Arabidopsis thaliana: one gene and its partners. The protein of the gene in region 1 interacts with the protein of each later gene in a biochemical or structural test. Each region holds a gene or a part of one and is shown in the gene's direction. Other genes may lie near its edges.

What was found.
Region 2: the proteins of MBD7 (region 1) and PRMT11 form a complex in vitro, tested with the Arabidopsis thaliana proteins (one study listed by BioGRID).
Region 3: the proteins of MBD7 (region 1) and AT1G20870 form a complex in vitro, tested with the Arabidopsis thaliana proteins (one study listed by BioGRID).
Region 4: the proteins of MBD7 (region 1) and AT1G54840 form a complex in vitro, tested with the Arabidopsis thaliana proteins (2 studies listed by BioGRID).

The regions. Positions count from the first base shown.
Region 1 is NC_003076.8:24,093,071-24,098,837, reverse strand, and holds MBD7 (methyl-CPG-binding domain 7), read left to right. Parts: upstream 1-2,305; 5' UTR 2,306-2,415; coding exon 2,416-2,568; intron 2,569-2,848; coding exon 2,849-3,001; intron 3,002-3,086; coding exon 3,087-3,185; intron 3,186-3,368; coding exon 3,369-3,566; intron 3,567-3,655; coding exon 3,656-3,778; intron 3,779-3,891; coding exon 3,892-4,086; 3' UTR 4,087-4,479; downstream 4,480-5,767. Other genes in the region: SBT5.4 (Subtilase family protein), read left to right, coding at 28-565, 657-751, 830-1,943. UniProt on the Arabidopsis thaliana protein: Transcriptional regulator that binds CpG islands in promoters where the DNA is methylated at position 5 of cytosine within CpG dinucleotides.
Region 2 is NC_003075.7:14,489,221-14,495,593, forward strand, and holds PRMT11 (arginine methyltransferase 11), read left to right. Parts: upstream 1-2,401; 5' UTR 2,402-2,518; coding exon 2,519-2,756; intron 2,757-2,851; coding exon 2,852-2,862; intron 2,863-2,984; coding exon 2,985-3,140; intron 3,141-3,236; coding exon 3,237-3,300; intron 3,301-3,380; coding exon 3,381-3,523; intron 3,524-3,613; coding exon 3,614-3,701; intron 3,702-3,808; coding exon 3,809-3,924; intron 3,925-4,014; coding exon 4,015-4,165; intron 4,166-4,326; coding exon 4,327-4,532; 3' UTR 4,533-4,781; downstream 4,782-6,373. Other genes in the region: AT4G29490 (Metallopeptidase M24 family protein), read left to right, coding at 213-340, 444-486, 565-648, 808-849, 991-1,061, 1,256-1,309, 1,390-1,495, 1,592-1,660 and 2 more; AT4G29520 (nucleophosmin), read right to left, coding at 4,836-5,024, 5,146-5,277, 5,368-5,445, 5,558-5,689, 5,799-5,867, 6,027-6,137, 6,228-6,373. UniProt on the Arabidopsis thaliana protein: Methylates (mono and asymmetric dimethylation) the guanidino nitrogens of arginyl residues present in a glycine and arginine-rich domain. Type I arginine methyltransferase active on both histones and non-histone proteins.
Region 3 is NC_003070.9:7,257,443-7,263,591, reverse strand, and holds AT1G20870 (HSP20-like chaperones superfamily protein), read left to right. Parts: upstream 1-2,111; 5' UTR 2,112-2,150; intron 2,151-2,797; 5' UTR 2,798-2,816; coding exon 2,817-3,963; intron 3,964-4,060; coding exon 4,061-4,305; 3' UTR 4,306-4,569; downstream 4,570-6,149. Other genes in the region: AT1G20880 (RNA-binding (RRM/RBD/RNP motifs) family protein), read left to right, coding at 265-307, 411-713; AT1G20875 (uncharacterized protein), read right to left, coding at 1,911-2,111; PHT1;8 (phosphate transporter 1;8), read left to right, coding at 4,759-5,600. UniProt on the Arabidopsis thaliana protein: Acts as an anti-silencing factor that prevents DNA hypermethylation and gene repression.
Region 4 is NC_003070.9:20,451,047-20,456,385, reverse strand, and holds AT1G54840 (HSP20-like chaperones superfamily protein), read left to right. Parts: upstream 1-2,119; 5' UTR 2,120-2,195; intron 2,196-2,450; 5' UTR 2,451-2,453; coding exon 2,454-3,249; intron 3,250-3,331; coding exon 3,332-3,585; 3' UTR 3,586-3,793; downstream 3,794-5,339. Other genes in the region: AT1G54850 (HSP20-like chaperones superfamily protein), read right to left, coding at 392-639, 905-1,272, 1,942-1,946; NF-YC3 (nuclear factor Y, subunit C3), read right to left, coding at 4,061-4,714. UniProt on the Arabidopsis thaliana protein: Prevents DNA hypermethylation and transcriptional silencing of transgenes and of some endogenous genes. May act as a molecular chaperone of IDM1, regulating its H3K18 acetylation activity.

The DNA.
Region 1 (5,767 bases):
GATTATTGATTCGTTACATGTAACCAGGAAGCTCATCGGTGCTAGATACTTCAACAAAGGTTACTTAGCTTACACAGGCCTTCCTTCTAACGCCTCCTATGAAACCTGTCGTGACCACGATGGTCACGGTAGCCACACTCTTTCCACCGCGGCTGGTAACTTTGTTCCCGGAGCCAATGTGTTTGGTATCGGGAATGGAACAGCCAGTGGTGGTTCTCCTAAAGCTAGAGTCGCGGCTTACAAGGTGTGCTGGCCCCCTGTGGATGGCGCGGAGTGCTTTGATGCTGATATTTTGGCAGCGATTGAGGCTGCCATCGAAGACGGCGTGGATGTTCTCTCGGCTTCAGTGGGAGGAGATGCTGGAGATTACATGAGCGATGGTATAGCCATTGGATCCTTCCACGCCGTCAAAAACGGGGTGACGGTTGTGTGCTCTGCTGGAAATTCAGGTCCTAAGTCTGGCACTGTCTCAAACGTTGCACCATGGGTTATTACAGTCGGTGCTAGCTCCATGGATCGGGAGTTTCAAGCTTTTGTTGAGCTCAAAAACGGCCAAAGCTTCAAGGTTTGATACTTTGACCTCGTCTTCTTTTTTTTTTCTTTCACTTTTGGTTCCTTTCTTTCTTGTGCTACAAGTAATTAATTTTGAAAAGCAGGGAACAAGCCTCTCAAAGCCTTTGCCTGAAGAAAAGATGTATAGCCTCATCAGTGCTGCAGATGCTAATGTAGCCAATGGAAATGTGACAGATGCGTAAGTAAACGCTTGATATCTATTTTTTGGAATGTGTATAATTAAGTAAGTACTAATTAACTAGTGATGGTTACATAGATTGCTATGCAAGAAAGGTAGCCTAGACCCGAAGAAGGTGAAAGGGAAGATCTTGGTGTGTCTGAGAGGAGACAACGCACGTGTGGACAAGGGAATGCAAGCGGCTGCTGCTGGAGCTGCGGGAATGGTTCTATGCAACGACAAGGCGAGTGGAAACGAAATCATCTCAGACGCTCATGTTCTTCCTGCTTCACAAATTGACTACAAAGATGGTGAAACTTTGTTTTCTTACCTAAGTTCCACAAAAGATCCCAAAGGTTACATCAAAGCACCTACCGCTACGCTGAACACAAAGCCTGCTCCTTTCATGGCCTCTTTCTCTTCCAGAGGACCAAACACCATCACACCAGGGATCCTCAAGCCCGACATCACTGCACCCGGTGTCAACATCATAGCCGCCTTCACGGAAGCCACGGGCCCTACAGACTTAGACTCTGACAATCGAAGAACTCCTTTCAACACCGAATCAGGAACTTCCATGTCCTGTCCTCACATCTCCGGTGTCGTTGGTCTTTTGAAAACACTTCACCCTCATTGGAGTCCTGCAGCTATCCGCTCAGCCATCATGACAACTTCAAGAACCAGAAACAACAGACGTAAGCCCATGGTTGATGAATCCTTCAAGAAAGCAAATCCCTTCAGCTACGGTTCAGGCCATGTCCAACCCAATAAAGCCGCCCATCCTGGTCTTGTCTATGATCTCACCACAGGAGACTACTTGGACTTCCTCTGCGCCGTTGGCTACAACAACACCGTGGTTCAACTCTTTGCCGAGGACCCACAGTACACGTGTCGCCAAGGAGCCAATCTTCTCGACTTCAACTACCCTTCAATCACTGTCCCAAACCTCACGGGCTCTATCACCGTCACCCGAAAACTCAAAAACGTTGGACCACCTGCTACCTACAACGCTCGTTTCCGAGAGCCACTTGGAGTTCGCGTCTCCGTGGAGCCAAAACAGCTCACGTTCAACAAAACTGGTGAAGTGAAGATATTTCAGATGACTCTTCGTCCCTTGCCAGTGACGCCTTCAGGCTACGTTTTTGGAGAGCTGACGTGGACTGATTCACATCATTACGTTAGGAGTCCCATCGTCGTCCAACTTTCAAGCTAGCCTCATTCTTCATTCTACTTCATCGTTCTCACTTTTCTTCTATGAATCATTTTATATGTTTGGATAATATTTTAATGTTCAAAAAAAAAATAAAAAAAATTGAATTAAAACACATTCTTTCTTAAAACAGTTTAATTTTATTTTGATGTTAACAAATAACTATCGGCATCATATAATTCATTACCTAAAATAAAATGTATAGCTAGTAAACCAAAAACATTGATTATTTTTATTATCTTTGTGATTAGCATATTTGATTTGCATGTGATTATTAACTTTATTTTTCATTAATCATCTTCTAATTACAGAATTTGTATTAAGGTAAAAATTTGCCAAGTGGACATATGGTGCTTTTTGCGTGTCGTTACGTGAAAGCAGTGACAGAGAAATAAGAAGTGTGTGTGGCTTGGACGACCAAACTAAAAACCACACTCTCGTCTCGGGCTTTTGGGTTAGACCCGGCAACGAAGCGATGCAGACGAGATCCTCTTCCTCTCCTTCGGCTAACCACCGCCGCGAAACCCAGTTGCAGATCGCGGATCCCACCTCGTTTTGCGGCAAGATTATGCCTGGTTGGACCGTCGTGAATCGGCCGCGATCTAGCAACAACGGTGTTGTTGATACGGTAAATATGAGCTACATCAAGCAAATGTGAAACAAAATTTGAGCTTTTTCTCAGAATTTGAACAATTAGAGCTAATTTATGTCTTTTGTGCAATGGATATGTATGACCAAAGTGTAATGCTTGGATCAGATTAGTGATTGTGTTGCCACAGAGCTCTTGATTGTTGCTTGAGAGGTCTATGAGTCGTTTCTTTGGGTATATGCTTGAGTTGAAGATAGATCTTGTGGTTCTCTTCTGAAAAGTCTCATCTTTACTTGTTTTTGTTTTGTTTTGTGGGCAGTACTTTATCGAGCCAGGGACTGGTAGACAGTTTTCATCACTAGAAGCTATTCACAGACACTTGGCTGGAGAAGTAAATGACAGACGCTTGACTCGAGCAGGATCCTTTTTCCAGGACAAGACAAGGGTTTATGAAGGATCAAGAACCAAACAGGTCCTTTGTTCTGATTTGAAATTACAGAAGCATATGGTTCTTCTTGGATCAAATACTTAAAATCAGTGTGTTTATGCTTTTGCAGGATCACTGCGGAGTTGAATATGCCTCCAAAGGTTTCCGATTGCCTAGAGGATGGTCCGTTGAGGAGGTTCCGAGGAAAAACTCTCATTATATTGATAAGGTACTAATGTAGAGACTTGCTATAGCTATTTTAGACCCTATGCATAAGTTACTGAGTCACATAACTAACAACTGAGGTCGGTTAAATGTGGGATGTGAGAAGAGCAGAATGTGAAAAGGATACGTTGAATTGGTGGTTTTAGGATTGAATCTCTGGCTAAACCGTTAGTATTGTTCTTTGCAGTATTATGTTGAGCGAAAAACAGGAAAGCGCTTCCGTTCTCTTGTTTCCGTTGAGAGATACTTAAGAGAATCCCGGAACTCTATAGAGCAGCAGCTTAGGGTTTTACAGAATCGCCGTGGCCATTCCAAAGATTTCAGGTTACCTGATGGATGGATCGTTGAGGAGAAACCGCGAAGAAGTTCCAGTCATATAGACAGGGTACATATCTGATACTTAGGTAGTTTGGTTATATTTGGTTTGTGTCATATAGTCCAAACGTTCAATACCGTTAGTACTGTTGTTTGCAGTCATATATTGAGCCAGGAACAGGGAATAAATTCCGTTCCATGGCAGCCGTTGAGAGATACTTGATATCAGTCGGGAACATTACACTTGACTCGGTTTCTATGGTGCATTCGGAGCGGCTTCCTGTAAGTTTTCTAAGCTTAAAGATAGATGAAGTTTGATTTTAAGCTTTACATCATTTAGAGGTAAAGAAGATGAACCATTTCTATACAAGGTTGTAACGGTTTGACTGTGGCAGCTTCTGATGAACCGGAATGGTATCAGATTTCAGAGCGAAGTTATTGACCCAAACCCACCGAAGAAAGTAAAGTGGGTTCTTACCGGTTCCGGCGGAAACATGTTCACTGCGAATGTACGCGGATCGAATGTCTCTAGCTTGGTTAAACATACATGGTCCGAGGCATTTGTTTCACTGATCGAAGACCGCTCTTAACCGAACTAGGTTTGTCAATTTAGTTTACGGTTAACAAGAGCTAATTCCAGTCGGTAGTCTGTTCAAGTTCATACTTCGGTCTAGTTTATAACTGACCCAAATAACCGGCTTTTCCAAAATTTTCAATTTCATATTCGGTGTGAACCGGATTTTGGTTATTCGGGCAGGTATGTTAGTGCTCATATTAAGTTTGGGGACTTAAAATTCGAAGTTGTCTGTAGTAAGGTGTAAATAATGGTTCAAAATTCCAAGCTTGATGTGAAATGGTTGTCTAAGAATGATTTTGTGTGCTTCCTCTCTAATTTTTGTATTAACAACTTCTCCTCGTTAAACATACTCGCCAAATACTTAGTATGAATCTAACTATAAATGAAAATCAACATTTTGTGTACGCCCCAAGTGGTTCTCACGAGTATAATATAGAAATTTACAAGATTATTTCGATTATGAGAGTCCATCGTTATTACTAACGGTTAAAGCTAGTAGCTCACCTTGGTTTCTTGGATTGAGACTTGAGAGGGTTTATATGACAATTATATCGTATTCCATGTGAGATATAATTACCTCTCTTCACCGGTTTTTGCTGTGAAACTGTAGAAAAAATAATGTTAACTGTAGTAAAACTGTGAAGCACAACGTGTACACGCAATCACAGATCTTTTTACCAAAATATGTATGAATTCACTTCAATGAAGTCAGTCACCTACTGCAAGATCTTATGTATATTTATATAATTATCTCTATATCTATCCTTGAATGTACCGCAATAGACTAGATATATGTCAAATATAATACAGTGTACTTTATTTTGAATTTGGTCTTAACCTTTTTCTTATTTTTGTCAACCTTTACTTTTAACTCAAAAGCAAATATCAATAAGTGAATTATCATATGCTTTGTATGTGTAATTCTATATTTAATTCCTTTTTTGATGTGGAACTTTGACAAAATAAACCAAATTCTTAAAAGTCTGGTTTCCATACTAATGAATGCAGATTGTGGGAATTTATAATGTATTTCTCCTTTTGCATAGAGTTTAATGATGTACAATGAAAAAGATTTTGAATAACAGTGCTATTTAAGACTTCTAGAAATGGGTAAGTGGAAACTTCTAAGATTTCAAAGTCAAAAGACAACATTGTTGTTGGTTATTGAAATTTCTTTTTGGTACGATTATTTTTAAAATATTGTGTACGTGCTGCAAATTGATATTGGAGTTGACGCCACAAAAGCCAAATAGGCCAGAATTAAAGGGCATAGAGACTTTTCCCTGAATAATTTGTAGCCTCAAGGTACCACCCCAACATTGACTCTAAGCTATTTACACTTTCAAGGAAAACTATCACTTTACCACATTTCAATGGAGTATTCAATAGTATATAAATAAATGTTTTCGATGTATTTCTGGTAATTTCTGTAAACTAATCACGCCAAGTCAATTTGTTGGAGGGCGTTTTCCCTACAAATCTATATATTTTTGTTGTTCTTTATGTATTTGGTCCAAAATCGTAAATATCTACACCTTAATTTCTATGGTTACTAGTAGTACTACTACTATGCATGTTGGAAAAAGAAGCTTCCTATGATCATTTGATATTTTACTCTAAACTGAAAGGAGCTATCAATGAAACCCCAAAAGTATGAAAAATGGTCAAAACTAACTGAAATTTGTAATTTAGGT
Region 2 (6,373 bases), on another chromosome or scaffold:
GTATGCTTAGACCAATGAATGAAATAAATTGATGAAACGATTTTCTTATCTGTTGGCTTGTTCACAATCTGTCGTTTTTGTATCATCTTACGACTTAGGTTTCTGACCTCAATTCTTCTTATCCACTCCATGTAGACAGTTTTTTTCTTCTCTTTTTGCAATTCTCTTACATCTTTCCAACTTTAACCATGTGTTTTTTAATCCACATTAAGGTTATGAGGAAAGTCACACCGGGCATGAAAGAATATCAGATGGAAAGTATGTTTTTGCATCACAGCTACATGTACGGTGGCTGTAGGCATTGCTCGTACACATGCATTTGTGCAACAGGGGATAATAGGTAAGTTTGGTGGATAAATCTTGTTATTGCTGAATATGCAGAAATATTCCTTTTCAGGTGTTTGTACTGAAAAACTAACAAAACGATGTTAAATTGTTTGTAGTGCTGTTCTTCATTATGGGCATGCTGCGGCTCCAAATGATAGGGTAAAGGGAACACACATTCCTCGCTTTTTTAGTTCTCTCATTATTCCCTGTTTGAAAATGTTTTAATACTTGTTGCAGACTTTTGAAGATGGAGATTTGGCATTGCTTGATATGGGTGCTGAATACCATTTTTATGGGTCTGACATAACATGCTCATTCCCCGTGAGTTCTTCTAGCATCAAATCTATTCTTAATTTTCCTCTGAATTGTCTTTGCACCGCATTGACTTGTGTTTTTAATCTTGTTTACATGAACATCATAATTTGCTGAATGTAGTTATCTAGAGAAAGTGGTCTCTAATATTTATCAATTGGTGTGCAGGTCAATGGTAAATTTACAAGTGACCAGAGTCTAATCTACAATGTAAGTGCCTTACAAGATTGGTGCAACGTGGATGTATTAGAAATGTGTGCTCTATTTTTTGTCTTCGCACAATCCAGAGTTTGGTGAGTCTCTTGAAGCTTTACATCTGAATAAGTTTCTCTGATTTTGCCTTCCTTTCAGGCTGTTCTGGATGCACATAATTCTGTAATCTCTGCGATGAAGCCAGGAGTAAACTGGGTGGATATGCACAAGTAAGTCTTACTGAGATGCTATATAGCTCTGTTCTACTATGCATGCAGATGCAGTAATTGGGATTGACAATGTAAGCGTAAACTCAGTTGCTTTGGTCCATTTTGATTTATCCTCTTGTTAGGGAGATAAATTGAAATACATCTCCATATGGTTATTCAGCTTTCTTTGTCGACTGAAGCAAATTAATGTACAGGTTAGCTGAAAAAATCATCCTTGAGTCACTGAAGAAGGGGTCCATACTCACTGGGTAATTCTCTCTGTGTTAGACATTTCAATACTCTTCTCTAAAGGTTAATTCATTCTCATGGTTTCGTTCTCTGTTCCTAGTGATGTAGATGACATGATGGTACAGCGCTTGGGTGCTGTTTTCATGCCTCATGGACTAGGTCACTTCATGGGCATCGACACTCACGATACTGGTGGCTACCCAAAGGTACATCAAATCTTTTTTCAACCCAATAGTATCATCACGTAAATAAAACCACAGTCCCTGTGTCTTACCCGTTGCTTTGATCTTTCATTCTTTTAGGGAGTGGAGAGACCAAAGAAACCTGGATTGAAGTCATTACGAACTGCAAGAGACCTACTTGAAGGAATGGTAAGGGCCGATTGTTTCAAGTAGAAATGCTTTTGGTTCTTCTCATTTATCGTCTCTGTTCATTGTCCTAATCGTATTTATGTCAGGTAATAACGGTGGAACCAGGATGCTATTTCATCAAGGCATTGCTGTTCCCAGCCATGGCAAACGCAACAACCTCTAAGTTCTTCAACCGTGAAACAATAGAGAGATTCAGAAATTTCGGAGGTGTCAGAATCGAAAGCGATTTGGTAATGTCAAATTCATATTCACTACAACGTCTACAAGTTAAAACACTCTCAAGAGTAATGTCATATACAATAATCTCATTTTGTTGTATATGTGTGATTTCTTTTTTAGGTCGTTACTGCTAATGGCTGCAAGAACATGACGAATGTTCCACGAGAGACATGGGAGATCGAAGCTGTGATGGCTGGAGGGCCTTGGCCACCGACCAAGTGATCGTAGCTACTCTTAGGCAGCTTATGGAAATTAAAAACTTGATAAGTAAAACTCAATAATACAACCTTTATTTTTGTTAATGGGAATAAGGAAAAATTGCCTGTGTTTTACTAATCTTGTACATGTAGTTTATTTTGTTTCAGTGTCTTGTTTGTGTGGTTGGATATTAAACCGATTGAATGTTCAAGTGGACAGATAAAATCTAACCGGTTTGGTGCTTGTCGACGAAAACCGAACCGGTACAGAAAATATCTTGAGCACAATTTTAGTTCTAATATAAAATTCATTAACAAGAGAGAAAAAAAAAACTTCAAATTAAAAGCTTCGTGTCTTCATAAAACCCTAATCTCGCGACTTCGTCTCTATCCCCAAAAACCCTTTCCTCTCTTCCTTCTTGTGTGAGACCGAGAAAAAAAGATGACTAAGAACAGTAACCACGACGAGAATGAGTTCATCAGCTTTGAACCAAATCAGAACACGAAGATACGCTTTGAAGATGCTGATGAAGACGAAGTTGCTGAAGGGTCTGGTGTTGCCGGCGAGGAAACTCCCCAAGATGAGTCCATGTTCGACGCCGGAGAGAGCGCCGACACCGCTGAAGTAACTGATGATACCACCAGTGCCGATTACTACTTCGATTCTTACTCTCACTTTGGTAAATTCCCTTTTTTCAAGTTCTATTTTTTTCCTTGTGCTCTTTGGTTATGAATTCTTACTAAGAGTTGAATTTGGTTCCACTTTTTTTTGCAGGAATCCATGAAGTAAGTATCGAGGACAAAGCTCAGTTTTTTTTGTTATAGTTTTTGTTCTAGAAGTTTAATGTAATTCATTGTGTTTTCTTCTGTATATATCTGATGACTGAATTGAGAATGGTATCTGACAGGAGATGTTGAAGGATGTTGTGAGAACAAAGACTTATCAGAATGTTATTTATCAGAACAAGTTTCTTATCAAGGACAAAATTGTTCTTGATGTTGGAGCTGGAACCGGAATTTTGTCTCTGTTCTGTGCCAAGGCAGGAGCTGCTCATGTCTACGCTGTATGTCTTCAATCTTTCAGTCTCTTTTTTAATAATCATAAGTAAGAAGAATCTTTTTCAATTTTGACTGATTTGATTGAGGATGTTTCTTAATAGGTTGAGTGTTCTCAAATGGCTGACATGGCAAAGGAGATTGTTAAAGCTAATGGATTTTCTGATGGTAGGTCTTTTATCCATGTTGAGTTGTATTCAAATCGATAACTTCTGTTCTGTAACATGATTTTTGTTTTATCGATGCAGTTATTACGGTATTGAAAGGGAAGATTGAGGAGATAGAGCTTCCCACTCCTAAAGTGGATGTGATTATATCGGAATGGATGGGTTACTTTTTGTTGTTTGAAAATATGTTGGACAGTGTCTTGTATGCTCGTGATAAATGGCTTGTAAGTTACAGCTCCACCTTGTTACATGAGATTCTTAGTTACCAAAACCAATTAAATGAAATCTTCTTGGTCCTGTGTTTTTATGGATAGGTTGAAGGTGGAGTTGTGCTACCAGACAAAGCCTCTCTGCATCTTACAGCCATAGAGGATTCAGAGTACAAAGAAGACAAAATCGAATGTGAGTGCATTGATTTGACACGTTTTCTCGTCTTTTTTTTTCCAACATTGATCTTGATGTCTGTTGAGATTTGCATTTTTAATTTCTTTTTTGTTGTTCTGCTACAGTTTGGAACAGTGTGTATGGTTTTGACATGTCATGTATTAAGAAAAAAGCTATGATGGAACCACTTGTTGACACAGTCGACCAAAACCAAATCGTCACCGATAGTAGGCTTCTAAAGGTATATAAGATATCATATGATGATGATTAGTAGTATCTCTTTACCTGTGTGACTAATGTTCATTTCATTATTCTTATGGGTTTGTAACAGACGATGGATATCTCAAAGATGTCCTCTGGTGATGCTTCCTTCACAGCTCCCTTTAAGCTTGTTGCACAACGCAATGACTACATCCACGCCCTTGTAGCCTACTTTGATGTATCGTTTACCATGTGCCACAAGCTGCTGGGCTTCTCAACAGGTTCAGATCTCTACAATCTTGTGCTAGCTCTGAGTATTCTATTTTTTTTTGGTGCAAAGAAATGGCATGTTATCGAATAACTTGGTTTGAAGTTTAAACATAGCACATTGTTTCATTATGATCTGAAACTTGCACTGAACAACCATATGTGTCACATGCAGGACCGAAATCCCGAGCTACACACTGGAAACAAACAGTTCTGTATCTAGAAGATGTGTTAACCATATGTGAGGGTGAGACAATCACTGGAACTATGTCCGTTTCTCCTAACAAGAAGAATCCTCGAGACATTGACATAAAGCTAAGCTATTCTTTGAATGGCCAGCATTGCAAGATCTCAAGGACCCAACACTACAAAATGCGTTAAAGTTCTCTCATAAGAAGCAGAACTTCAGAAGATACAATTCTCATATTGTGATTTAGTTTTTATATTTCTTTTTCTCCAGATTACAACTTTCCATTTGCTTCACATTGCAACATTTGCTTCATCTCAAGTTAAATTAATGATTTTGCTCTAAACCATCTCGTGTATGTTCCTTGTTGATCACAAAACTGATGTCTGTCAACACTTTTCAATATTCTCTCCAAAAGATTATAGAAACTAAAGGAAATCTACAAAAAGCAAGTGTGAAGAAAGAGTACATTAAACAAAACCAGTTTAAAACTGTTTCTATAGCTCAGACTTTCCGGATTTAGGTTTCTTTGAAGAAGACGATCCAAGTCCTTTCCACCATCTCCGGACCCGGTTTGACACTTTCTGTGCATGTCTCTTCAGAGCCTCACCTTTCTTCTTGAACTCCTTAGTGATTGTCTTCTTCAATTCTTCTGTTTTACTCTCTTTCTCTTTCAAAACTTTTCCCTAAAAACCAACAAAACCATACAAGTGTTTTAGAGAAAAGAAAGAAAGATCTCGGTTTCCTTCTTCTTCATGAAAGTTTAACCCAAAGATTTGATCATTTGAAAAAAGAAACTTTATGTACCAAGTTCTTGGGAAACTTATCATCTTCTTCCTCATCTTCATCATCGTCGCCATCATCATCTTCATTACCGATATTCCCCTTCTCTATATCTTCTCTAGAGTATACCTTCATGCCAGGTGCTCCTGGCATACCCTGAACATAGCGGTAAAGAGTAAGCTTAAGATCATTCCATGGATATGCATTCCTTGCTTAGTGGTATTGATTGACGTCATCAAAGATTACCTGCATAGATCTCAAAATCTTGTCCATTTCAGCATCTTTTGATGGTTTTGCAACAAATGGTTCTCCAGGAACCCGATCCTGGCAAAGATAAAGAAACACTTATCAAAACGTCATCTCCACAGCAACAACATAAGAACATTCACGGACACAAATCACCAAAGATCCACATTTCAGTTTCAATAAAAGGTACCTTGGGAACAGGAGGAGGTTTCTTGCTGCAAGCATCGGTCAAATCTTTGCATAGATGATTCACCAGTGAAACAAGATCAGGCTTAGACTTGTAAATATACTCTGCAACATCAGTGTCTGAGTAACCAATGACCTGCAACACACACCAACAAACAGATGAAAATCACATTTATCCAACTCTAAATACTCAAAGAAATGCAAATCCAATTGTATTAACAGCTGAAAGACCACATTAAGCTAACCTTTTGACAAGCATTCTCGATCGTCTTGCACTTGGAATTACACATCCCTTCTTCTTGTTGCTCAACCAGCTACGAACCCAAAGTCAAAACAAACAAATTGTTAACAGAGTCACCAGCATTGAGATTCAACAACAAATGTACAAGTTTCCACTTATTTCAATCTCAAAGCTACAATGTAATATTTTCGGATCAAACAAGAAGGGAGAGAGGTAGAGAAATCTCAATTACCACAAGATTATCGCCTTTCTCAACAATGTCAATCTTAAGCATCCAATCAGCTTCCTCTTTCTTCAAATTGCAGACATTTTCAGCAATCTCAATGATCTCATACTCCGAGATCTACCATTTATTTCCCACCAGCAAATTCAGTAAGCAGAAACACATCAAATCAAACTAGAAAGATCACTAAAAATACATTAAAAACTCAACCTTTTTGGGAGAGATCTGTTGTTGCTTCTCCTTCACTAGCTGGTGTAACCGAGAAGATAGTTTCTCGCAAACCTGACACTTTATATACGGAACATCCTCCTTTCTCGGCGTCGAAGAAGGTTTCTTCGCGGCATCGGAAACAGGTA
Region 3 (6,149 bases), on another chromosome or scaffold:
ATATGTGGCCGAGCTCAATTTGTTTTGGACAGGCAAGGTCATGAATGTTTTTGGACTTTGATAGGGCAAAATTACCTAGATTTTTGGAATGGACATTTTGGAGTGGACTTAGGTTTTTCCCCCCTAGCTTAGCATCTTTCTTTCGTAGCATAACATATTCTAGCTGTTTTGTATAAGTGTTACTCTTCTTTTCTTAAAGAGTGTTTAGCCAAAACTTTACTCACCTGTCTCTAATATTAGCTGTGCTTTTTGGGGTTCTCTCAGGGTTACACCATATGGACCTGACTACATGTACTCACAGTCTCAGGTAGGCGCTTGAAATTATTGCAGTTCCTTCTTACCTTCTTTATGCATTTTAAACTGTTGTGGCTTTAGTTATAAACTCATGTCTTCTCTTCATGGTGTTGTAGGGTTTCTATGGTCCTTACATGGGTCAACAGTACCTTCAGGTTTATGGAGTACCTGGGGCAGTTAACTCACCGGGTTATCAATATGGGCAACTGAGCCATACTATTCCTGGTGCTCACGGTTATACAGCGGGTCAAGGTTATTCACATCCAGGAAGTCATGTTCTACAGCTTGGTGCCACTTCACCTATGTCTGCTATTCAATCTCCATACCCTTCTCCTTCAGCTCCAACGCACCAACGTGTCATCGTCCAGACTCCTCCTCAGTATATACAGAGTAGCGGTTCTGATCAGACAACAGGGTGATCAACGTAAGCAAATTCTTGGATTCTTTTTTGATGGTCCAAATTGGATTGAAGTTCGTACACACTTACACGACCTCATTGTTATTTATCGGTTTTCAGTTAGTAATCCTTAAAGATTGCAGAAAAGGGAAGAAGTCCAGGACAAATGCTACTCTGGCAGGCTTCCTGTTTAAGCTTAGCACATTATTTATTTTCGCATTCTAGAGGTAAGCTTGTTTCCTTAGGTGCCCTTTTAAGTTTCAGTACTTGCAAATGTTTTCGATCTCACCTCATTACCGTCGTTACAGGTATTAAGTAGTCTTGCTCACTGAAGAAGTCAAAAAAGGGGGAAAGGAGAATGGAAGTTTCAGGGTTTGTGCTTCTGTTATCTTTAACCCTCTCATCCTATGTATATAGCCCACAACAAGCTTGATGGCATAAACTATATGAATAGTTTCACCCCGGAAACAAGGGTTTTCGCGGTAAACTGGTAGGAATAAGTTTGGTGTACAAAGAAAGTTCATATATATATAAACACATACATAAATGCATATAGAATGGTGGAATCAACATCTGATTCTTTTGGGTGGTAAAAGTAGTCTTCTTACTACACACTCTCTTAAGGCATATGAGTGTTGGTAATATTACTAGGTAGATTCTCACGTCCTCTTGAGTCAAGTCCTCTGCATTGTAAGTAAAAAATTAATGACTATGGAGCTCACTTCAGCTTCTTTGTCTGTGCATAAATTTTAGCTCCAGGATTCTTCTCTTTTCTATGTCTGTACAGTTTCTAGACTGATAAATTGTTCTTCTCAATTGTTTCTGTCTATGACTCCTATCTTCTACTCTGATTCCTCTGTTTATACTCCATTTATCACTTCGTTTACCACTTGCTTTCAAGATGATAGATTCGAGTTTTTAGTTAAATTCATCGTCATTTAAACCATTTTTAAAGAGTCCAATTTTTGGGGGTGGATGTAATTACGTTTCCTTCTTTGATCCATCAAAGTAAAAATTGATCAACACATAATTAAAAGGATTACATAATGAGGTAGTGGCATAGTAATGATGTTTTGATGTCCGAGAAAACTGATTTAGAGATAGTTTAGTCAGCACAAACAAGATTAATGTTCCCATTTTCCTACAACTTCCTCTCGTTTAAAAGAATAAGCTTTATCAATGAGAATAAGACATACAAAACATTTGGGCCTTATACTTTTTAAAAGGCCCAAAAGTGCTTCAACAAGACGGCACGTGGTGAGCCAGGTGACAAGTGATACCTCCAAATGCGGTTATTTGCGGGACCCACGTGGTAGCCACGTGTAGCAAGCAAAGGACCCCCATCCTCTTTTGCATTTTTCTCCTTACACCAAACATTTCTTTCTCGCAGAGAAATCTCTCTTCTCTTCACCTCCATCATCCTCCTCAACCCAAAAACATCACGACGAAATTAAAAAAGGTAAAATCTGCCACTGAGAATTTTCTGTCATGCTTAAGCTTCGAATTTCTTCTCGTTTTTTCTCCATGAATGTTGCTTGAATTTTCACAATCGCTGGACTTGTAAGGTTGAAATTGCATAATCCCTATTTATCTTCTGTGGTGGGAACAATGTGGGATCGATTTTTGCTGTAAAAAGTACAAACTGGTTCGTATTCAAGCGTAGTAACCTTTAGATTTAAGGAAAATTGTTGACTTTGAGCTAACTAGTGAAAAATTGTTGGATTGCGATATTTTCTGGGTAAAAATTGGTTTTTTTTTTTTTTTTGTATTGTGAAGAGTATATATGAAGCAGAGTTACTAATCTTTCTCAAAATATCAACATAGTCTTTTCAAATGTAGATTTTGCTGTTAATAAGTGAAGTTTTTAGGGTTTAATTTGAAGATGTTTTCTCCTTAGTAATGATAAGGCAAAACATTATGGAGACTAAAGTCATTGTTAGAAAAGGGTTAAACTTAAGAGATCTAGGGACTAAAATGATGGAGATTTTCAATGCTATGACTAAATTGGCAAATTTGAGACACTTAATTATGTCCTGTAACTATGTTTTTGGAATGTCCTTATTGCTTCCATTTGTGACAATGTTGCCACTTTCATATGTAATGCAGGTTCATTGATATCGAAGATATGAGTCTGTATAGCGACGGATTATCGAGTGATCAGTATTTCTTGGTTAATTTCATCATGAGCAACTACTTGGGTCCTGATGTCTATTCTGATAACCCAAGATGTTCATCTTCTCAAAGATTAGCTAGAGGTTTGCCACCTTACACTTTGATGCACATTGGATCTTCCTCTCTAACTGTTTCCCAGCTACAGAACTTGTACTATAATGTACTCAGAAACGCCAAGTCCAGCCTCCTTCTTCATCCAGACATGATTTATATGTATCTCAAGGGATATCTACCATTGGAACCAAGTGGAAAGTTTCCTCAGTTCACGCATTTTTTCCCGACGAATCTTCACCCGCAGAAAAGGTATTCCCCGAGCCACGAGATTGTGAAAGGAATTGTTGTTATTGATGATCCTGCAGTAGGGTTCATAAACAAGGAAGAACTCCAAAGGTTCAGATGCTTGTCGCGTTTGGACGACCTGAAAATCGATAGAGTCACGTCTTTATCTCCTCGGGTTAATCTGGATGAAAGCCGGGAAACTGAGCAGGACTGTTCAAGAAATGGTGATGCGACAGCTAATGGAGTTGTCACTAACGAGGACTACAATTCATCTGGTGAGCTTCAAGAAACGTGCAAGAGAAAGGAAGGGGAAGACGCGGTTGCTAGTTGCGTAATCAGTGAACCAGAAAGACTTTCGGGAGACATACCAGAAAGCCAGGGAATGAAGCAGGACTGTTCAAGAAACGGAGAATCTGCATTCAGTGGAATTGTCTCTGACCAAGACTACTATTCATTTGTAAAGCTTCCAGAAACATGCAAGCGAAAGAACAAGGAAGAAGAAGCAGTTACTGGTCATGCTGTTAGTGGAACGAGTAAAACCCCTGAAAGATTTCGTGAGACATACAAGAGAAGACGGTTCAAGAACTCATCAAAAAAGGCAACAAACAAGAATGGTGAAACTCTTATGGAAAGAGAAAAAACAGATAAGCCTATACCTTTTTCTTCGGAGATGAAGGAAAGCGATGCAGAACCGTCGGTTGTAACTACTGGAACAGCCAGTAAAGAAACTCTAGGATCATCTGTTGGTGTTGTTGACATTGGTGTCAACAAGGTTGCTTACTTTTTTCAGGTTGCTTTGCCCGGTGTCCGCAAAGATTACGGTATTATTACACTTTGTTGCACATCTAACTACTTCCATACACGCCACATCGGGTCTAAGTGCTAACACATGAATTGGTTTGGTCCTTTTGTGTGCAGGTGAATTCAGCTGTGAGATTGAATCAGATGGAAAGGTTATACTGGAGGGATCAACTACAAGAGGCGAAAAAAATATCAAGAGACATTCTCGGGTGTTCGAGATGAATATCCGGAAGCTGTGTCCGCCTGGACCATTCAAGCTGTGCTTTAACCTCCCGGGACCAGTTGATCCGCGGCTATTCTCTCCTAACTTCCGATCAGATGGTATCTTCGAGGGAGTCATCATCCGACACAAAAACTCTTAATTAAACCGGAGGTTCCTATACAAGTTTAGAACTTAGGATCTATGTAGATCTTTTATCTTTATGTTACTGGACATAGAAGGAAAGCGAATCAAACAGCATGCAAGGATAAATCTTTTACTTTTAGGACGTGACTCTGTAGATTTTGCATGATTTTGCTAAATATCCGTTTTCACAATGATTTCATCAAACTGAGAATCCGTTAATATTGTTTCTGTGTTGGCAGTGTTGCTGTTACTTGTTAGTAGTTACTGTTCTCATTTCTCAATAAGTGATCAAACCGAAACTAAAACAGTACTGAACCGACGGTTTAATTTGGCTAGAAAAATTCAAACAATTATGATGTTGTGCCTTAATGTGACAACATAGATAAAAAGAAGCTCTTACAAACAAACTGACTAAGTCTTCCTCGGAGTCAAAATCATAAGCATATTCCATGCTCATACCAATAAAGTAATGAAAATGACAAAGAGACTTATTAATCGTTATAAAGATCCTTGTTCTGTTTCACTCATCATGAATTCGAAATTTCGATATAACAAACCAAAAGGAAAGAAGCAAAAAAAAAAAAAAAAAGCTCTGGATTCGGAATCTCAGATAAAAAAACCAACGATGCCGATAAAGGTATTGTCGTCGCTTGATGTAGCTCGAACACAATGGTACCATTTCAAAGCGATCATAGTAGCGGGAATGGGTCTATTCACCGACGCATACGATCTTTTCTGCATAGCACCGGTCATGAAAATGATTAGTCATGTTTATTACAACGGTGACTCAATCAACACAGCCGTTCTTTCAACTTCTTACGCCATCGCTTTACTCGGCACAGCCACGGGTCAACTAGTCTTCGGTTACCTCGGTGACCGAGTCGGTCGTCGCCGAGTCTACGGACTTTGTTTGATTATTATGATCCTTAGCTCCTTTGGTTGTGGCTTTTCCGTGTGCACCACTCGTCGGTCTTGTGTTATGGTTAGCCTCGGTTTTTTCCGGTTCTTTCTTGGTTTAGGTATCGGTGGTGATTACCCGCTCTCGGCTACCATTATGTCGGAGTTTGCTAATAAGAGGACACGTGGCGCGTTTATCGCTGCGGTGTTTTCGATGCAAGGGTTGGGGATTTTGGTTAGCTCTGCCGTGACCATGGCTGTTTGCGTGGCGTTTAAGAGAAGTGGCGGTGGTTTGGAGGTGGATGCGGCGGCTCCGACGGAAGCTGACTTGGCCTGGAGACTTATACTTATGATCGGTGCTCTTCCTGCTGCATTGACGTTCTATTGGCGAATGTTGATGCCTGAAACCGCAAGGTCCGTCCACTCTTTTCATCCGTTTGTCTTTTTATATATTTTACCTATGACAAATCAGAAAGGACGTAATGCACAAAGAATGGTCTTGAAAACCTTGAAATCACTATTTGTCCCACATTAAAAATCTTGAAATCAACTAGATTTGATAATATCGTTTTATAGAAACATAATTGCATTATTTGTTCTGTTTATGTGAACGTTTCTCTAGTTTAAGAACATATAGTACCTCATTTCAACCCATAAAATGAACATTAAACTATTTTTTTCAAGCAATGATATAACTGTTCCGATCTCTCACACACGGACACGCACACACATACTATTGGATTCCTTAAAAGAAGTATTACTAGTTTTGACATATTTTAATAGCTAGGTTTTATAAATATATGTATCAAATATTGAAAGGGTTACAAATTAGTAGTTTGCTTCAATGGAGTCATTGACTTTATAAGGGATAGATACCATAATTCTGTGGTATATACTCTTGTCCTTACGTATTCAACATTAGCAATCCAAAGTCTACACCAATCATGTATTTACTCTCTTTTT
Region 4 (5,339 bases), on another chromosome or scaffold:
CGTATGGAAGTTAAGTTATAGTGTTATTGTGAAGGCATAGAAATTTTCCTTGTTGCTTTTTTAGCTATATGATTACTTGTAGAAGTTAAGTAATTGAGTAGACAAATGTAGTAGGTATTGTGGAAGTTGATTTTTACAAAATAAAGATTTGAGTTCTTGAATTTTAGGTAATTGATTTCCTATCATAATTCCCTTACCATATCATCTCCAATTCTTTTTTCATCAGGCATATCAAGTATCAAATAGTTAAGTTTTTACAAAGTAACATAAACTAATCAACAATCTTTGTGATGACAATGTAGCTTCCAACAAAAAGAAAATCCTACTTAAGCTGCAGTGATTCTAGCTTACTTTAAAACTCAACAAATCCATCTCCATTTGTTGTTTCTGTTCAGTCTTCGTAGTACACCTTCTTCACTACGCCTTCAAGTACACCATCTGACCCAAAATTACCGTTAAATTCTTCATTGCTCACAGGACCAGGAAGCTGAAAGTTGATGGTGAAGTGGCCTGGTGGGCATAAGTTCTGTGTTAGCATTTTGAAGATCTGATTGTGTTTGCAAACTGTCTGCTCCCCCGTCGTTGTTGCTCCCTTTATCATAATCTTACCGTCTGGTTCTATTTCGCAGCTGAATTCCTCTGCATATTTAACAAGTCAGATTCAGCAGAAGACAAGTAAAAGCACACGAAACAAAGCTCAAAGCACCTCATAAACACGCTTATAAACCGTGTGCAAGGAAATAATTGAGTAAACACACTTATAACACAAGGCTGAAACTTCTCAAATCTATGTGCAAATAATATTTGCTCTGAATGAACAAATATCTTTAACTAGCTTTAGAAATGATAATTTGGCATGTCATTTGGAAACTTCACAAAGATATGGAAAGGTGGTAAGACTTACTCTCATCCCTTGAAACACCAGGCAATGCAACACGAAAGTAATATGAGTCTTCGGATTCAGCAATATCAACCAACCCAATCGTTAGTCCAATCTTCCCCATTGCAGCACTTCCCGTGAGAGCAACTCCGGTTTTCGTTTGACTGATAAGGTTAGAAAACTCTGAACTTGAGTCAGAAGGCAGAAATATCATCGCAGGCCCTCCTACTTTCTCTACACTATCATTCATCCTGTTACTCGACATGGATGCATGAGTTACTGGACCAATGTAAGGCATACTGTTCAATGGAGTCACTTCAAGAATTTGTGGGTTCCTTGTGTTATCCGGAAAACTGTTGTTTTCCCTCATCCCATTTAGACCACTTGAAGACCTGAAGCACAACAATTCCTTTTATCATACACTTGACTCAGATTCGCTATATAACAGAATCACTCACGAAACTACAACGATTCTTTAAAACAGCAGCGGACTAAAAAGGCTTAATCTTTGAAACATTATAAGGCTATAGAGGTAGCTAGATTCTAGAATCAGTAAGAGAGCAAGAGATTGAACTATATTGGTTAAGATCCAATAAGCAAGCTAAGTCTTGTGATGTATAACCACTATTAATGCTTACGAATATTCATACAAACGGAAACTTCTTATACTTTCATGACCACAAATTAGACAAACGAAGAGGCAACATTCATCATTTGTCCTCTTTTATGTTATCGAAAAGGTCTTACACAACAATGTTAGATACACACATGAGTCTGACCCAATTTTGTAAGCAAGGGTTTAGCCAAGTAATGAATATTATACTATCTTAGACATAAGTTTAAGTTTTAAACCTGAAAATAAGTTTGGCACACAAGTATTTCATCAAAGTTTCAGACTTTTAGCCAAAAGTAACCTAATTTCAATCAGTGAAAATGTACAAAACCCATAAAGAAAAATTAAATCTTTCACAGAATCAAACGAAAATACACAAACTTGGGTTATATAAGAGCAAGAGTAGAAACAAAACTGACGAATTTTTGAGAAAAATTAGTTACTTTACCTCATCGGAGACGATGTTTCAGAAGTCGCCGGCAAAAATCTCCGAGAAGCTTTGTTGATTTTTTTTTTTTTTTCTCTTAATTTTCTTTAAGATGTACATTTGGTATAATCGCCACGTGGACAAATCAGTGCCGAAAGAATACCATTTTTACCCTCTTCTTGCCATGTCTTGAGTTTTTTTCCCAAGTCGCTTTCTGTTTCTCTGATGAGAGACAACGAAATTCACTAAGCAGCAACCCTAAATTTACACTCCTGGTTAGTAACATTTTATCTCAATTTCGTTTATTTATCAACAAATTATGTTTCTATTTGCTTCAATTTCTTAAATCTCCTTAAAAAGTTTCGTTTTTTCCCACCCATTTTGATACGAAATGTGTCCAATTTTTATCCAATTTGGTTATAATTTCTTATTGCATGTCCAGTATTTTTCAAATTTTCTATTAAAGTTTCAATCTTTTTGTATAAACACTCATAAAGAATCAAACTTTTGATGTTGTGTTGTGTGTTTAGGATATGAGTGATACAATGCCTGAGATCGTGTCTCCTTTAGTAGCTGAAAACTCTCAAGAACAAGAAGAAAGTGTGTTAATTTCATTGGATATTGAAGAAGACAAGTTGTTTCTCTTACATTTCATCATAGGAACTTACTTTGGACCAGATTTAAGAAAACAACATCATCGTCCAAAGCAATCAGCTTTTCAGATTCAAGCGTTGAAGAATGTTGTGGTAGATGAGTTAAGTGGCTCACTTATGAAGAGAGCTGAGCTAGAACGTGTGTATTATCACATTATTAGAAATGTTGATCCGTCTCTAGTCATGAAGCCGAAAAAGTTACGTGAATATTTCAATGCGAAACGCAATGATTCGAACAGGGATTACCCTCTTTTCGTGGATCTTTTTCCGCGAAAATTGCACCCTGAAACCCATGTTAGGCATAAGTTTAAGTTTATCCGGAGCATTGTGTTCATTAATGATCCAGATACTTCTTGTATGAGAGAAGAATGTGTTGCGCGGTTTAAGCGGCTTACGGGATTGGATAGCTTTGCTTTGAGCCTTAGTGTTGATGTAACTAAAAGTAACGGCGTTGTTGCAGCTAATGAGGTTAAGGTTGAGATTGATGAGAGCGTGGAACCTGTGAAAGAGGATAATGCGGGTACTTGCACTAGCGGTGAAGAAAGTGATGTTGCTGCAAAACCTGAGGTGAAATCTGAAGCTCATGGTGGACTAATGGTGGGACTGATGGACATTGGTGAATGTGATGACGCTTATCTCTTCCGTGTATCGCTTCCTGGTGTGAAAAGAGATGAAAGTGAGTTACTTTTTGCTTTATCTAGAAGATCTCTCATCCCACTAAACCAGTTTCTTGATTTGATGAGTGTGAGATATTGCAGGATATTTTAGCTGTGAAGTAGAAGACAATGGGAAGGTACTAGTTAGAGGAGTCACTACAACAGGCGGGAAGCGAGTTAAACGGTATTCTCATGTGTTTGAAATGCAAACGCGGAGTCTCTGCCCTCCCGGTAACTTTTCTGTCTCGTTCCGCCTCCCCGGTCCTGTCCATCCACACGAGTTTTCTGGCAACTTTGGAACAGATGGAATTCTTGAAGGAGTCGTAATGAAAAACTTGCAGAAACAAACTGTGTAAACGTTTGGTAGTGATATAGGAAGCGTCGGTTTTTGGTTTTGGTTATGGGTAGGGATAAGTACGGACTATTTAAACTCGAGCTAAGCCATTTTGAAAACTATGTGTAAGGACTGGTTAGTTTACAATATCACTGTAGCTTTGAACTTTATAAGTAGTAATCTAGCCTTTTGTAAGTTCAATTCTCAGTTTATGAATTTGTTACATTGACCGAAAACAGTTTGATGACAAGATAAACCAAACTGAATAACAATAGATAAATCCATGGATCATAAAACAGAAATTATTCTACTACACCAAACTTTTTATGTCGCAATAGTTTTCTATTAACATTCTTCTTCTTGAGTAGATCCACCGGGGAGAGCTTCGAATTAGACGGCTCTGCGGAAAACAAACAAGAACAATCAAATCAAGTTTTGTGTCCATGTAACGATAAAGCACAAATCTAAACCAAGAACTCACAGTTTATTAGGCCAAGCTAATTGTCAGGATCCTGCTGCTCAGGTCCTGGTTGTTGCCACATTGGCTGACCCATATACGGGTTCGGCGGATACGCGCCCGGGTTACCCATAACCATTCCCGGGTTCCCAATTGGAGCTGTTCCAGGAGGCAAGTATCCATACGGATAACCCGCAGCTGTAGCAGCTTCAGCACCAACACCACCCAAGACTTCATCACGAAGATCCTCCCGAGGAACAATATCCACAAGAAAATCAAAAATATCAGTTCTAGTCACCGCAGCCGCGATATCATTCTTCTGCAACGTCCTTCTCTTGTTCTCCTCAGTATGGTTCCAAGACCTTAACGTAAGCTCCAGAATAAACATCTCGCAGGCCCTGGCGAACACAACAGGCGCCTCGGCCGAGATCATACGCACATCTTCATCAGCTTTCATGATTTTCTTGATTCTTGCCAATGGAAGGCTATGGTTCTTGAAATCAGTGGTTTTCTCAATCTCTTTGAATTGAGTCTCCCAGAAAGATTGAAGCTGTTGAGTGAGCTGTTGTTGTTGTTGCTGGTGGATCTGATGGTAAGCTGGATGGTCTGAACCGGTTGGTGTAGTGGTCATGGCGTTGGTTTGATATGGGTTTGAACCATAGTTCATAGCTGATGATTGTCCTTGTTGATCCATTTCTCTACCAAACTAAGAGAAACATTTTTCAAAGTTTTTAATTTTAATTCTATCATCAAAAACACTAATGAATTTATAAGTTTCATATTGAAAACAAAAAAAAAACACAACTTAAACACATTAACAATAATCAGACAAGATAAAAATCAGACAAAACAATAATCAGACAAGATAAAAATCAGACAAAAGAATGCAAAAGTAGTGAAATTAACAAAATAAAAATACATTTCATCAAAACAAGAGAAACGATCATAAATCAAAGTTTTTTTAGCCCTCGATAACAAATAAATTGAAGACAAAAGCTTTGATTATGAAATAAACCCAGAAAAAATGTTGGGAAATTTAAGAGAAAATTGATTACCTCAAAGATTGACGGAAGAATCTGGAGAATTTGCGAAGATGGAATTGGGGGAGGAGAGAATTTAAGATCTGGAAAATCTGGGTTTTATCGCCTTCGTTGGGATATTTATTTTATAGGGTTTTTCTTTAACCTTCTTTAAGAAACTTAATAAAAAGGAGTTAGAAGACAGATGGCGTTTCGTAGGAGAAGGTTTTTAAAAGGTAATGCTTACTTTCTATTTTCGAATCTATTAAAAAAATCATTTTAGCTTAGCTCCCTTTATAC